3 linked regions of the Callithrix jacchus genome follow. The protein of the gene in region 1 interacts with the protein of each later gene in a pairwise test. Links are inferred from orthologs where the notes say so. Each region holds a gene or a part of one and is shown on either strand. Other genes may lie near its edges. The genes, in order: NUP62CL, AGR2 and OGT.

Region 1 (3,654 bases):
CCAAAAGAAAATTATAAGTAGGAGAGAAGTGGGTGATAAATATGGGGAACAAAGAATTTGAGTCAAGCCATGAAGTATGCTTAGGATTTTATCTATGGAGAGCAGGACATTCTAATAGAGGTGTAACCGAAAAAGACATAGGAGAGAGGTCTTGGCTGTAGATAAAAGTTTGAGAAGCTTTTTCCTAGGGTTTGCAAAAATGTATGCCTAGTATTGGCTGTGATATAGAGAAATAGGCACTCTTTTCTATTGATAGGGACATAAATTGGCAAAATTATTTAGATAGGGCAATTTGGCAAGTTATGTTAAAATTTAGAGCATGCTGACACTTTGATCTATAAATTTTATTTCTAGGAATTAATTACACAGGTACAGTCATGTAAGTATGCAAAGATATAGATGTACAGAGATCTTTTATAAATTGCAATTATTCTTTTCTTGAAAGTTTAGTAAAACTTACCAACAATGGCATCTGGGACTAGAATTTTCTTTATTAGAAGAATTTTGAGGATTGATTTACCCAGTTATTGGGCGACTTAGAAGTTTTATTTTTCTATGAATTTATCCATGAGTTTTAGTTTTCAACTGGAAAGTTAATTTAGGTACCTGGCCTGCCATATATTATTTCATATTACAACAGTGTTGAGTTCAAATCCACAACTTTGAGTTCCAATTTGTATGTTTAAAAATGCCTCCATAATTTTAAATCTGAATGATCAAGGCTTAAATAAAACAAATTTCTCATTTCTTACTAACATTATACAGTTTATTTTCCAGTTACAACTTCAACGACTGCCACCACCACAGTCACCACCACCACTATTACCACAGTCACCAGTGGCTTTACTGTGAACCAACAACTGTCATCAGGAGGGTTTGAAAACCGTGTACCTTATATTTCAACTGTTAGGTAAGCCTATTTATTTGAAAATTTGCATGTGTTTTATTTTATTTATCATGTACAAGACATTTGCTTGGATAGCTTTAGAATATTTGAAAGTTAGCTACATGACCAAGTTGAGGGAACAGTTAGAGAAAGATTTCTGTAGTTTAGGAATTTGAACAACCAACAGCATGCCTTGCCTTCTGAATATTGTTATAATATAATCATTACTATTACTAATAATAGCTACCACTTATTATGTAATTACTTATGTTTAGCAAGATGACAGTGCATTACAAGCATCATGTCATTTATCCTCACAGTAACCCTATGAGGTAGGCACTATTTTCGTTCCCATTTTATAGATGAGAAAAGAAGAGCATTTAGAGATTTTGTAATATACTCATAGTTGCATACTTGTTAATGGTTGAGTCAGGATTAAAATTCAGACAGTCAAGTTCTGGAGCCTGTATACCATGCTTCTCTCTAGTATTTGTTCATTTTTTAAATTAAACATTTTATTTTGAGATAATTGTAGAGTCACATGTATATGTAAGAAATAATACACAATATTCTATATGGTCTTTATATCATTTCATCCAATGATAACATCTTAACAGTACTATAGTATAATATCACAACCAAGATATTAATATTGCTACAGTCAAATACAGAACAGTTCTATCACTACAAGGATTCCTCCTGTTGCCCTTGTGTAGCCACCCCCACTCTCTTCCTTTCCTTGACTCTGAGCAACAATTAATCTGTTTTCTATTTCTATAATCTTGACATTTTAAGAGTGTTGTACAGATAGAGTTATACATATGTGACCTTTGGGGATTGGATTTCTTAATTCAGCATAATTCCTTCTGATCCACCCAAGTTGTCACGTGCATCAATAGTTTGTTCTTTTTTATTTCTGAGTAGTATTCCCTGGCATTGTGGATGCACAATGGTTTATTTATCCATTCACCTGTTGATGGACATATAGGTTGTTTCCAGTTTTTTGGCTATTATGAAAAAAGTGACGTGAACATTAGTGTACAGGTTTTTTAGGAATATAAGTCTCATTCCTCTGGGATAAATGCCTAGGAGTACAGTTGTTGGGTGATGTGGTAGTTACATGTTGTTTTTTGGTTTTGTTTTGCTTTTTTAAGAAACTGTCAAGTTCTTTACCAGAGTACTGTGCCATTTTACACGCCCACTAGCAACGTATGGGTGATTCAGATTGTCTACATTCTTGCCAGGATTTGGTGTTGTCACTACTTTATATTTTAGCCCTTCTGACAGATGTGAAGTGATATCTCATTGTGGTTTTAATTTGCATTTCCCTGATGACTAATGATGTTGAATATCTTTTCACATGTTTATTTGCCATCAGTGGATCCTCTTTGGTGAAATGTCTATTCATATCTTTTGTCCATTTTCTACTTGGATTATTTGATTTTTTACTGTTTAGTCTGGAGAGTTTGTTATATACTCTAGATACCAGTCTTTTGTCAGATATGTGGCTTTTAAGTATATTCTTTAACTGTGTAACTTGGCTTTTTATCCTCTTAACAGGGTCCTTTTGCTGAATAAAAACTTTTAATTGGTGAGTTATAATTTATTACATTTTCATTTAATGAATTGTGCTTTTAGTGTCAATTATAATAAATCCTGTATTAGCCCTAGATCCCAAAGATTTTCTTCTATTTTTTTCTAAAGTTTTATAGTTTCACATTTTACATTTAAGCTTGTGATCCATTTTGAGTCAATTTTTATATAAGGTGTGAGGTTTAGGTCAAGATTAATTTATTTTTGTCTGTGGATGTCAAGTTTTTCCAACATCATTTATTGAAAGGCTATCTTCCCCCTGAATTGCTTTCACACCTTTGTCAAAAATCAATTTGTGTCAAATGCTTTTTCAGCCTCAATTGATAAAGTCTTTTAAGATTTTTTTCTTTATCTTGGTGAAGTGGTGGATTACACTGATTGATTTTTAGATGTTTAACCAGCCCTGCATATGAGAAATAAATCCCACTTGATCATGGTGTATAATTTTTGATACATTTTTAAAAATTTGGTTTCCTGGTGCTATAAGGACTTCCGTATCTAAGTTCATGAGAACTAATAGTCTGTAGTTTTCTTCTTTTTTTATGCCTCTAGCTTTGGTATCAGGGTAATATTGGCTCTATAAAAATGATCTGGATATGGAGAAATAGGAACACTTTTATACTGTTGGTGGGAGTGTAAATTAGTTCAACCATTGTGGAAGACAGTGTGGCAATTCCTCAAGGACCTAGAAATAGAAATTCCATTTGACCCAGCAATCCCATTACTGGGTATATATCCAAAGGACTATAAATCATTCTACTTTAAGGACACATGCACACGAATGTTCATTGCAGCACTGTTTACAATAGCAAAGACCTGGAACCAACCCAAACGCCCATCGATGATAGACTGGACAGGGAAAATGTGGCCCATATACACCATGGAATATTATGTAGCCATCAAAAACGATGAGTTTGTGTCTTTGTAGGGAAGTGGATGAACCTGGAAACCATCAGTCTCAGCAAACTGACACAAGAATAGAAAATCAAACACTGCATGTTCTCACTCATAGGCGGGTGATGAATGATGAGAACACATGGACACAGGGAGGGGAGCACTATACACTGGGGTCTGTTGGGGGGAAATAGGGGAGGGACAGTGGGGGGTGGGGAGTTGGGGAGAGATAGCATGGGGAGAAATGCCAGATATAGGTGAAGGGGAGAAAGGCAACAAAC
Region 2 (4,202 bases), on another chromosome or scaffold:
TTTGTTTGTTTGTTTTTTGGGACTGAGTTTTGCTCTTGTCACCCGGGCTGAAGTGCAATGGCACACTCTCGGCTGGCCGCAACTGCCACCTCCCACGTTCAAGCGATTCTCCTGCCTCAGCATCCCGAGTAGCTGGGACTACAGGTGCATACCATCATGCCCGGCTAATTTTTGTATTTTCAGTTGAGAATGGGTTTGACCATGTTGGCCAGGATGGTCTCGATCTCCTGACCTTGTGATCCACCCACCTCATCAGCCTCCCAAAGTACTGGGATTACAGGCATGAGCCACTGAGCCTGGCCAACCTTAACTCATTTTTAAAAGTCATTTATATAGGGCTTGCAGCCCAGTTAACTTTCTGTTGTTAAAATATTTTCCATTCTGCGCTTTTAAAGACTGCTCACAACTTCACAAACAAGATACAGGATTAAAAATTTTCAGAGAGAAAATTGAAATCCCAGTTTTAAAATCTTCACGGAGTAATTAAATAAATCTTGAATGGAAAAAAAAATAGTTACAGACCTTAGGTTTTAGGTCTGAAAAAATGGAGGAAATGGCTTCCTGATTGCCTTTCAGGAACATTTGTCTTCAAGTAAGATTATCTGTGAAATACCTTTGAACTCTTTGGAGGGAAGTTGCTGCACACATTCTGTGGCAAGGCAATTACTACAGGCTGGCAGTATCAGGCTGGTTTTTTTTTCCCAACACTTCCTCAGTTTTGAATTATTATGTGGGTTACTTGATTTGTTTTGTTTTGTTTTGTTTTTCATACATGTAGTAGTTCGGGTGCATTTTTTTGACAGGAGTGGGGAAGTATTATCGAAAATAATTTTTATCATAATGGAGTATGGCAGGTTATATGACTGTGAGGATCAGAATTGTGAATCATCTCTTGTGTGTTTTCAAGTAAATAAAGGCAATCTATACAGGGCGGAGAAAAAAAAAAAAAAAACTACTAACTACAAACTCCATCCAATCACATAAAGACAAATCAGCCTTCAGGCAAATCAAATGTCTTCATTCAAAGTCTACCTGGATTTGGCACTCTGCCCATCGTTTCAAAACCTCTTAACAATGTACTTCACAAACAGTTAAAAACATGCATACTGAAAAGCATGCTTTTGAAACGTTATTTTTAAAAACAAGGAACTCTTTAACCCAGGAAAGACAATCATGTGGGAAAAGAAAGGATCGTTTCTGAGTTAGCAACAAGTAAATACAGCACTAGTGGGTGGGATTGAGGTGTGCCCTGGTGCATAAATAGAGGCTCAGCTGTGCTGGCACACTCAGAAGCTTGGACCGAATCCTAGCTGCCGGCTCACACGAGGCAGGTGGGTGAGGAAATCCAGGTAAGGCTCCTGATAGCAGCTTTAGAAGGGCACCTGCTGGAGTGACTTTTGGCCTCTGATTACTGTATAAAGTTGTAGGCAATCAAGCAACAGAGAAGTGCAAGTTTCCAAGGGCAATGAAGTAGGATTTGGAGAGGGAATCATGGAATTTCTACCAAAGGCTCACTGGGGCCTTTCTTTGGCTAGAGCTGGCACAGTGTGACGTTCCCAAGTTCATTCAAAGGAATGCTTTCTTCCTTCGGAAACAAAATTTCCAAGAGTGGGTGAATCCTAGGATTTTTCAAGCCTGGGACAGGGTCCAGGGATTTTCGTCTCAGTCATCATCTAAAGCTCTGCTTCTTTCCCACGGGCTAAAGCAAAGCCCTGTAGGCCTCTCCACTGTGACACCTCAGCTCGGATTGCCTACTTGTAATATATTACTGCAAATCAAAAAACAGTTTTCTTTCTCTCTTTGGTGCAGATATCCTTGTTGTGTCTGCAATTTTTAAATTCATGGGATAGGCTATTAGAGGAGAGGAGAGATCTGGTTGCTTTCCTGAAGCATTTACAAACAAGGACACTGAAATTTCTTGCACGGTCATTCTTTGCAAAAGGCAAGACAGAGACAGGATGACAAGTGGAAAGTGCTGGCTTCACATTTGTGTGTGTGTGTGTGTGTGTGTGTGTCTGTGTGTGTGTGTCTGTGTGTCTCCAAATTATCAATATCTTTCATGGTTGGAATTGTTTTGAGGTGGTTTATGCAGGAAGTTTGCAGAGCAGAATCTATTCATATAAAAACTCCGTAGAGTGAATCTCAGAACGTCACCCCAGAGCAGGATGTTTGTGTAGCAGGAGTTATATTAGCCTTCCTTGAGCCATCCTGCCATAAAACACAAGCAATATATCAATAGTTCCAACCTGTAATCTTTGGAGATATTACAAGGGGTCCGAGTAGCTACTTGTACAACAAGAACTGTAAATGGGCTAAGTAAATAAAAATGTTGTACCATCAATTTACTATTTTTTAGAATATTCATAGATGCTGTTATGCATAAAAGTAAAAGTCAAATGTTTGTTTATAGATTCAAAAAGTATAATTATTCTCGTGTAAAAGTTCTTGATTTTTTAACATTAAAAAGAAGTTTTTATACAAAGAGGGCTGAGAATTATTGATGTACAGTGTACATTTGAGTTGTTTTTGCAAAACTCTAGAAGACAAAAGTTGTATTGGCATTTCCACATCTTTATGGGTATAGAAAATGAACAAAGTATATCCCTGATTTTTGCTCAAATCTTTCTAAGACATTTTGTATTTATGTTCTATGAATTTGTTAATAATTGGTCAGTTAAATACAAAGTGTCATTTCGATCTGGTAACTTTGCAACACCTTTAAAAAAAATCAGCTCATGCTTAGCAAAGGTTTCCACTAAAGATAGGAGATTATGAAAAACTTCTCTCTTAAAATTACTAATTCCTTTGCAGAGTTTGAGTTCATTCAAAACCTACAGCAATACTAGAATCAGGTCCTGTGGTTTCACATTTCCCTTTTAGCCCTTGCAGTATTTGCCTTTACCAGAATCCCAAGTCTCCAGCCTTCCATGTTACAGCCCCTTGGATGATCTTAGTGACTTGCTAGAGCAACTCACTTTGCTCCCTCCCTTCCTCCCTTCCTTTTCACTCACAAAACTTATCTTGTCATTTACTTTCCTGTTAAAAGGCTTTAGCTTTTCCTGGGAATCAACTATGGAATAGCATTAAAAAAAGTAATTTAACTAAGATATTGGCTGGTCGTGGTGGCTCATGCCCGTAATCCCAGCACTTTGGGAGGCTGAGACAGGCAGATCGCTTGAGGTCAGGAGTTTAAGACCAGCCTGGCCAACATGGTGAAACACTCTGCTACAAAATTAGATAGGCATGGTGACACATGCCTGCAGTCCCAGCCACTTGAAAGGCTGAGGCATGAGAATCACCTGAAGGCTGTGTTGAGCTGTGATTGTGTCACTGCACTCCAGCCTGGGTGACAGAGCAAGACTATTTAAAGAAGAGAGAGAGAGAGAGAGAGAGAGACGCTTGGGGCTTATTTCTCTGTTATAAATTGCACCAAATACTTCCGTGCACTAACTTGTATGCCCACCATCACCTACCTATACAGGCCCATAAGGAGGGTCAAAGAGTTGTTTCGATGGAAAGAACATTACATTGGTGTGTCTTAGTTAACCCAGAGCTAATACAGAGTTTGAGTAAATGTTATGCTAGGGAGAGAGTTGTATAGGTAGCCTTCAGATAAGTGACACAGTTGGCACGTTCTAAATGAAGAACCATTTTATTCATATCTTCTTCTTCAATGGCAATGTCCCCATTTAACTGAAGGTTTGAGAAGTGTGTACATTTAGGATAATTGTTTCAGGGAGGGGAGATAGGAGCTAGCACTGCAAGATAACAAGATCCAGAAGGCTTTGTTCTGAAGCCATCTCACAAATCTTTCTCTCTTTGAACTTCAGATTCTTCATCCATACAGTGAAGCACTGGGGAGGTGAGAAAAGAGGGGGTAACCCCTAACCTGCCTTCTAGTACTTTATTTTTTAAATATAAAGTTAAAATGTGAGGCTGGGCAGAGTGACTCATGCCTGTAATTCCAGCACTTTGGGAGGCCAAGGCAGGCAAGTGGCTTGAGCCTAGAAGTTTGAGACCAGCCTGGGAAACGTGACAATACTCCATCTCTACTAAAACACACACACACACACAAATAGCCAAGTATGGTGGCATTTACCTGTAGTCCCAGCTATTTGGAAGGCTGAGGAAGAAGGATCACTTGAATCTAGGAGGTGGAGGTTGCAGTGAGCCAAGATTGTGCCACTGCACTCCAGCCTGGG
Region 3 (3,654 bases), about 35 Mb from region 1:
ATTTTGTGAACCTCGGGAAGTAAGGATTAAGGACAGTAGACCTATACTCATCTGCTTCCTCTTCTCTTCTATCCTCCCCTCTCCTCTGAACGTAAAACGGATACCAGGGAAAAAAATTAACCAAGAAATTATTTCCAGATTACCTAAAGGTAAAACATGCTATTTTATTTTAGTTCTATGGGTTAAGAGCCAGTGACAGCTATCTAATATCCCACTTATGCAAACTTGTCTGATGAACTAAGAGATAATCGTATGTATAGATCGACTCCTTCTTGGTTAGAACTCTACAATACTACAAGAATGTTAAACATGGGTGGATGTACATGACAGTATATGCTATCAGTTTAGACCAGGGGTTGGCGAACTACACAGCCTGTGAGCCAAATATGGCATACTGACATTTCACACAAATACAATGTTATTAGAACACAGCCACACTCATCATTTACAAAATGCCTATGGTATTTTCATGCTACAATGGCAAAGCTGAGTAGATGTGAGACAGTATGGGCCACAAAACTGAAAATATTTACCATCTGGCCCTTTAAGAAAAAGTTTGCTGACCCTTTAGACAGAAGAACACTTTGAATATGTACATTTAAAAGGTTCACAATGACATGTTGAGACTTTGGAACCAAAATGCCTGAAAAATCTATAACTCTTGAAGATTATAAATGAGCACAAGGCCAGGCTTGGTGGCTCACACATGTAATCCTAGCACTTTACAAGGCCGAGGCAGGCAGATTTCCTCAGGCTGGGAGTTCAAGACCAGCCTGGCCAACATGGTGAAACCCTGTCTCTACTAAAAACACACAAAAAAGTACCCAGGCATGGTGGCACATGCTGAGGCACAAGAATCACTTGAATCTGGGATGCAAAGGTTGCCATGAGCCAAGATCACACCACTACACTCCAACCTGAACAACAGAGTGAGATTCTGTTTTTTTTTTTTTAAAAAAAGAGCACAACCCAGTTGAGTCACATGTAAATAAATAAAATGATTTTTTAAAAAAAGGTTCTATCCATTTATTTGAGACAGAGTTTCCCTCTTGTTGCCCAGGCTGGAGTACAATGGTGTGATCTTGGCTCACTGCAACCTCCACCTGCTGGGTTCAAGGGATTCTTCTCCTGCCTCGGCCTCCTGAGTATCTGAGATTACAGGTGCCTACCACCACACCTAGCTAATTTTTTGGTATTTTTAATAGAGACAGGATTTCACAATGTTGGTAAGGCTGGTCTCAAACTCCTGACCTCAAGTGATCCGCCTGCCTTGGCCTCCCAAAGTGCTCAGATTACAGGCATGAGCCACTGCACCTGGCCAAAAAAAAGTTTTAAAAATAAATGAGCAGAACAGCTCCTAAATGGGAGTGGAAGGACCATCTTCAACAAGCAGCTCTGTATACAAAATCCTTATTTCTTAGTCTCTGAGACAGTAACAATGAGTCTATGCATACTCACATTTGCCCACATCTGCAAAGTAGAAGGGTCAATTTTATACAACTGATTAAAGTTACAGTATACAATGGCATCTTCTGGTAACCCGTACTGAGAACGGGTGGTTACGATAATGGTACGGGGAACCTCCTCTCCAGTTGCAGCCTTATTGTTGATCTAGAACAAGGAAAGGATGATGGTTACATTTAAAGGCAAAAGGAGTCCAATATTCAATCCATAAGATCCAAAATGGTATAACCATTAAGTCCCTGAATCATGAGAAAATATTCATGATACATGAAATTTAAGAAAAGGCAAACAGTTGCAGCATGATCTTAATTTGGGGGAGACTGCACTATGAAACTTCTTGCTTTAACCAAAAAAAGGTCTCAAGAGCCTATTAACAATCCAACAGTTTTGATCACTCTTTTCTTTATGAATGAAATGTCCTTTTCTAAATCACATCTACTCTTCAAGGCTAAATAAATTACTCCTCCAAAAAGAAATTACTCTTCTTCCAAGAGTGTCTCTCTTCACATCGATCATCGCCATTTCTGGGCTTCTACCTACATAATTAGTCTTATCTTGTAATTCTCACACATCTGAGTACTGCCTTACATTGCTACATAACTATTCCAGGTATGCAAAGACATCTATGACCTCTAGAGGCCAGAGATCTTTCTTTGCCTTATACACTCTTGATAGAGCTACTTATTTAAGCATGCAATATATTATTTATTGAGTACATACTACATTACTGTTTTTAAGAGATGGGCCCAGTAATTCAATTCAGTAGAGGATACAAACACAGGGAATTATCATCTGTTGTGCTGTATGTAATGATATATTCCAAACATAGCAGAGGCATAGAAGACAGGTACCAATGAAGTAGGGGTGGAGACATTAGTGGTAAGTACGGAAATGGATTCCTGGAAGAGCTGTCTGAACTGAATGTCTGAGTAGGATTTAGCTAGGGAAAGAATGAGTTTACAAAAGCAAGAAACTGTACAGTATCTACAGATAGTTCATCATATGATAAGAGAGTAAAGCCACAGGCAGGGAATAACAACATGGTATTAACACAGCAGATTCTCAGTAAGTAATAATCTGCTGGCTGAACCCGGGAGACTTTTAAAATCAGACAAACCTACATAAGATGCCTGTTTACACTAAACTCATTTCCTCATCTATAAAATGGTGATAATGATACTTGCCTCCTACAGTTATCCTTTTTTTTTTTTTTTTAAGAGAAGGAAAGAGAAAAAAGGAATGAAGGAGAGGAAGAAAGGAAGAAAAAGAGGGAGAACGGAAATGTTGCTTTATTCTAAAAAATGGGTATTAATAATGGCCAATCAATATTTCATTTAAACCTATGAGTAGGTGTGATGTGGTATTGACAAGAATGTATATTTTGTGTATTTAAAGTGGAGAGCTCTATAAATATTTATTAAGTTTACTTGTTCCGGATCTGAGTTAGAGTCCTGGATATCCTTATTAATTTTCTGTCTCATGGAGTCTAAGTCTCTATGTAACTGGGTGTTAGGATTGTTAGCTCTTATTGTTGCATTTATCCTTTTACCACTATATCTTTGTTGCTTTAAAATCTATTTTATCAGATGCGAGAATTTCAACTCCTGCTTTTTATTTATTTATTTATTTTTGCTCTCCATTTGGTTGGTAAATCTTTCTCCATCCCTTTGAGTCTTTGTGTATCCTTGCATGTGAAATGGGTCTGGATGTAGCATACCGTTGGGTTTTGGCTGTATCTTTTGATTGGGGGATTTAGTCAATTTAAATTTAGGATCACTGCCATTTGATGTTAACTGGCTGTTTTATCCATTCATTGATGTAAATTCTTCTTTATGTTGATGCTCTTTACTTTTTGGTATATTTTTAGAAAGGCTAATACTGGTCGTTTCTTTCTATGTGTATCCTCCTACAGTTATCATGAGGTTTAAAGGAAATAAATGCAAAGTTGGTGGGACATATAATCGTGTATTATCTTCTCACCTGAGTAGTTGCCAGTCCATTGCTAATACTGAATCCATTAATTGTTATTTGAATCTGTCCTCTGTTAATCATTTCAATAACTGCTTCTGCAATAGTATTCATAGGAATAACAGGCATATTAAGAGCTGTGTTACTGCTGTCTGCATTGTCTCCTCCATCAGGACACTTCATCTAAAAGAAACACACACACAAAATGCATCATTAGGGGAA

Evidence for each region.
Region 2: the proteins of NUP62CL (region 1) and AGR2 interact in binary tests that used the Homo sapiens proteins (3 or more experiments, as listed by UniProt). The two-hybrid records come from large-scale screens. The link is inferred for Callithrix jacchus from reciprocal best matches to the Homo sapiens genes NUP62CL and AGR2.
Region 3: the proteins of NUP62CL (region 1) and OGT interact in binary tests that used the Homo sapiens proteins (3 or more experiments, as listed by UniProt). The two-hybrid records come from large-scale screens. The link is inferred for Callithrix jacchus from reciprocal best matches to the Homo sapiens genes NUP62CL and OGT.

Annotation. Positions count from the first base shown.
Region 1 is NC_133524.1:103,715,060-103,718,713, reverse strand, and holds part of NUP62CL (nucleoporin-62 C-terminal-like protein), read left to right. Parts: intron 1-777; coding exon 778-910; intron 911-3,654.
Region 2 is NC_133512.1:41,650,244-41,654,445, forward strand, and holds the start of AGR2 (anterior gradient protein 2 homolog), read left to right. Parts: upstream 1-1,284; 5' UTR 1,285-1,331; exon of another isoform or gene 1,332-1,349; intron 1,350-4,202. UniProt on the Homo sapiens protein: Required for MUC2 post-transcriptional synthesis and secretion. May play a role in the production of mucus by intestinal cells. Proto-oncogene that may play a role in cell migration, cell differentiation and cell growth. Promotes cell adhesion.
Region 3 is NC_133524.1:68,853,469-68,857,122, reverse strand, and holds part of OGT (UDP-N-acetylglucosamine--peptide N-acetylglucosaminyltransferase 110 kDa subunit), read right to left. Parts: intron 3,616-3,654; coding exon 3,445-3,615; intron 1,612-3,444; coding exon 1,459-1,611; intron 1-1,458. UniProt on the Homo sapiens protein: Catalyzes the transfer of a single N-acetylglucosamine from UDP-GlcNAc to a serine or threonine residue in cytoplasmic and nuclear proteins resulting in their modification with a beta-linked N-acetylglucosamine (O-GlcNAc).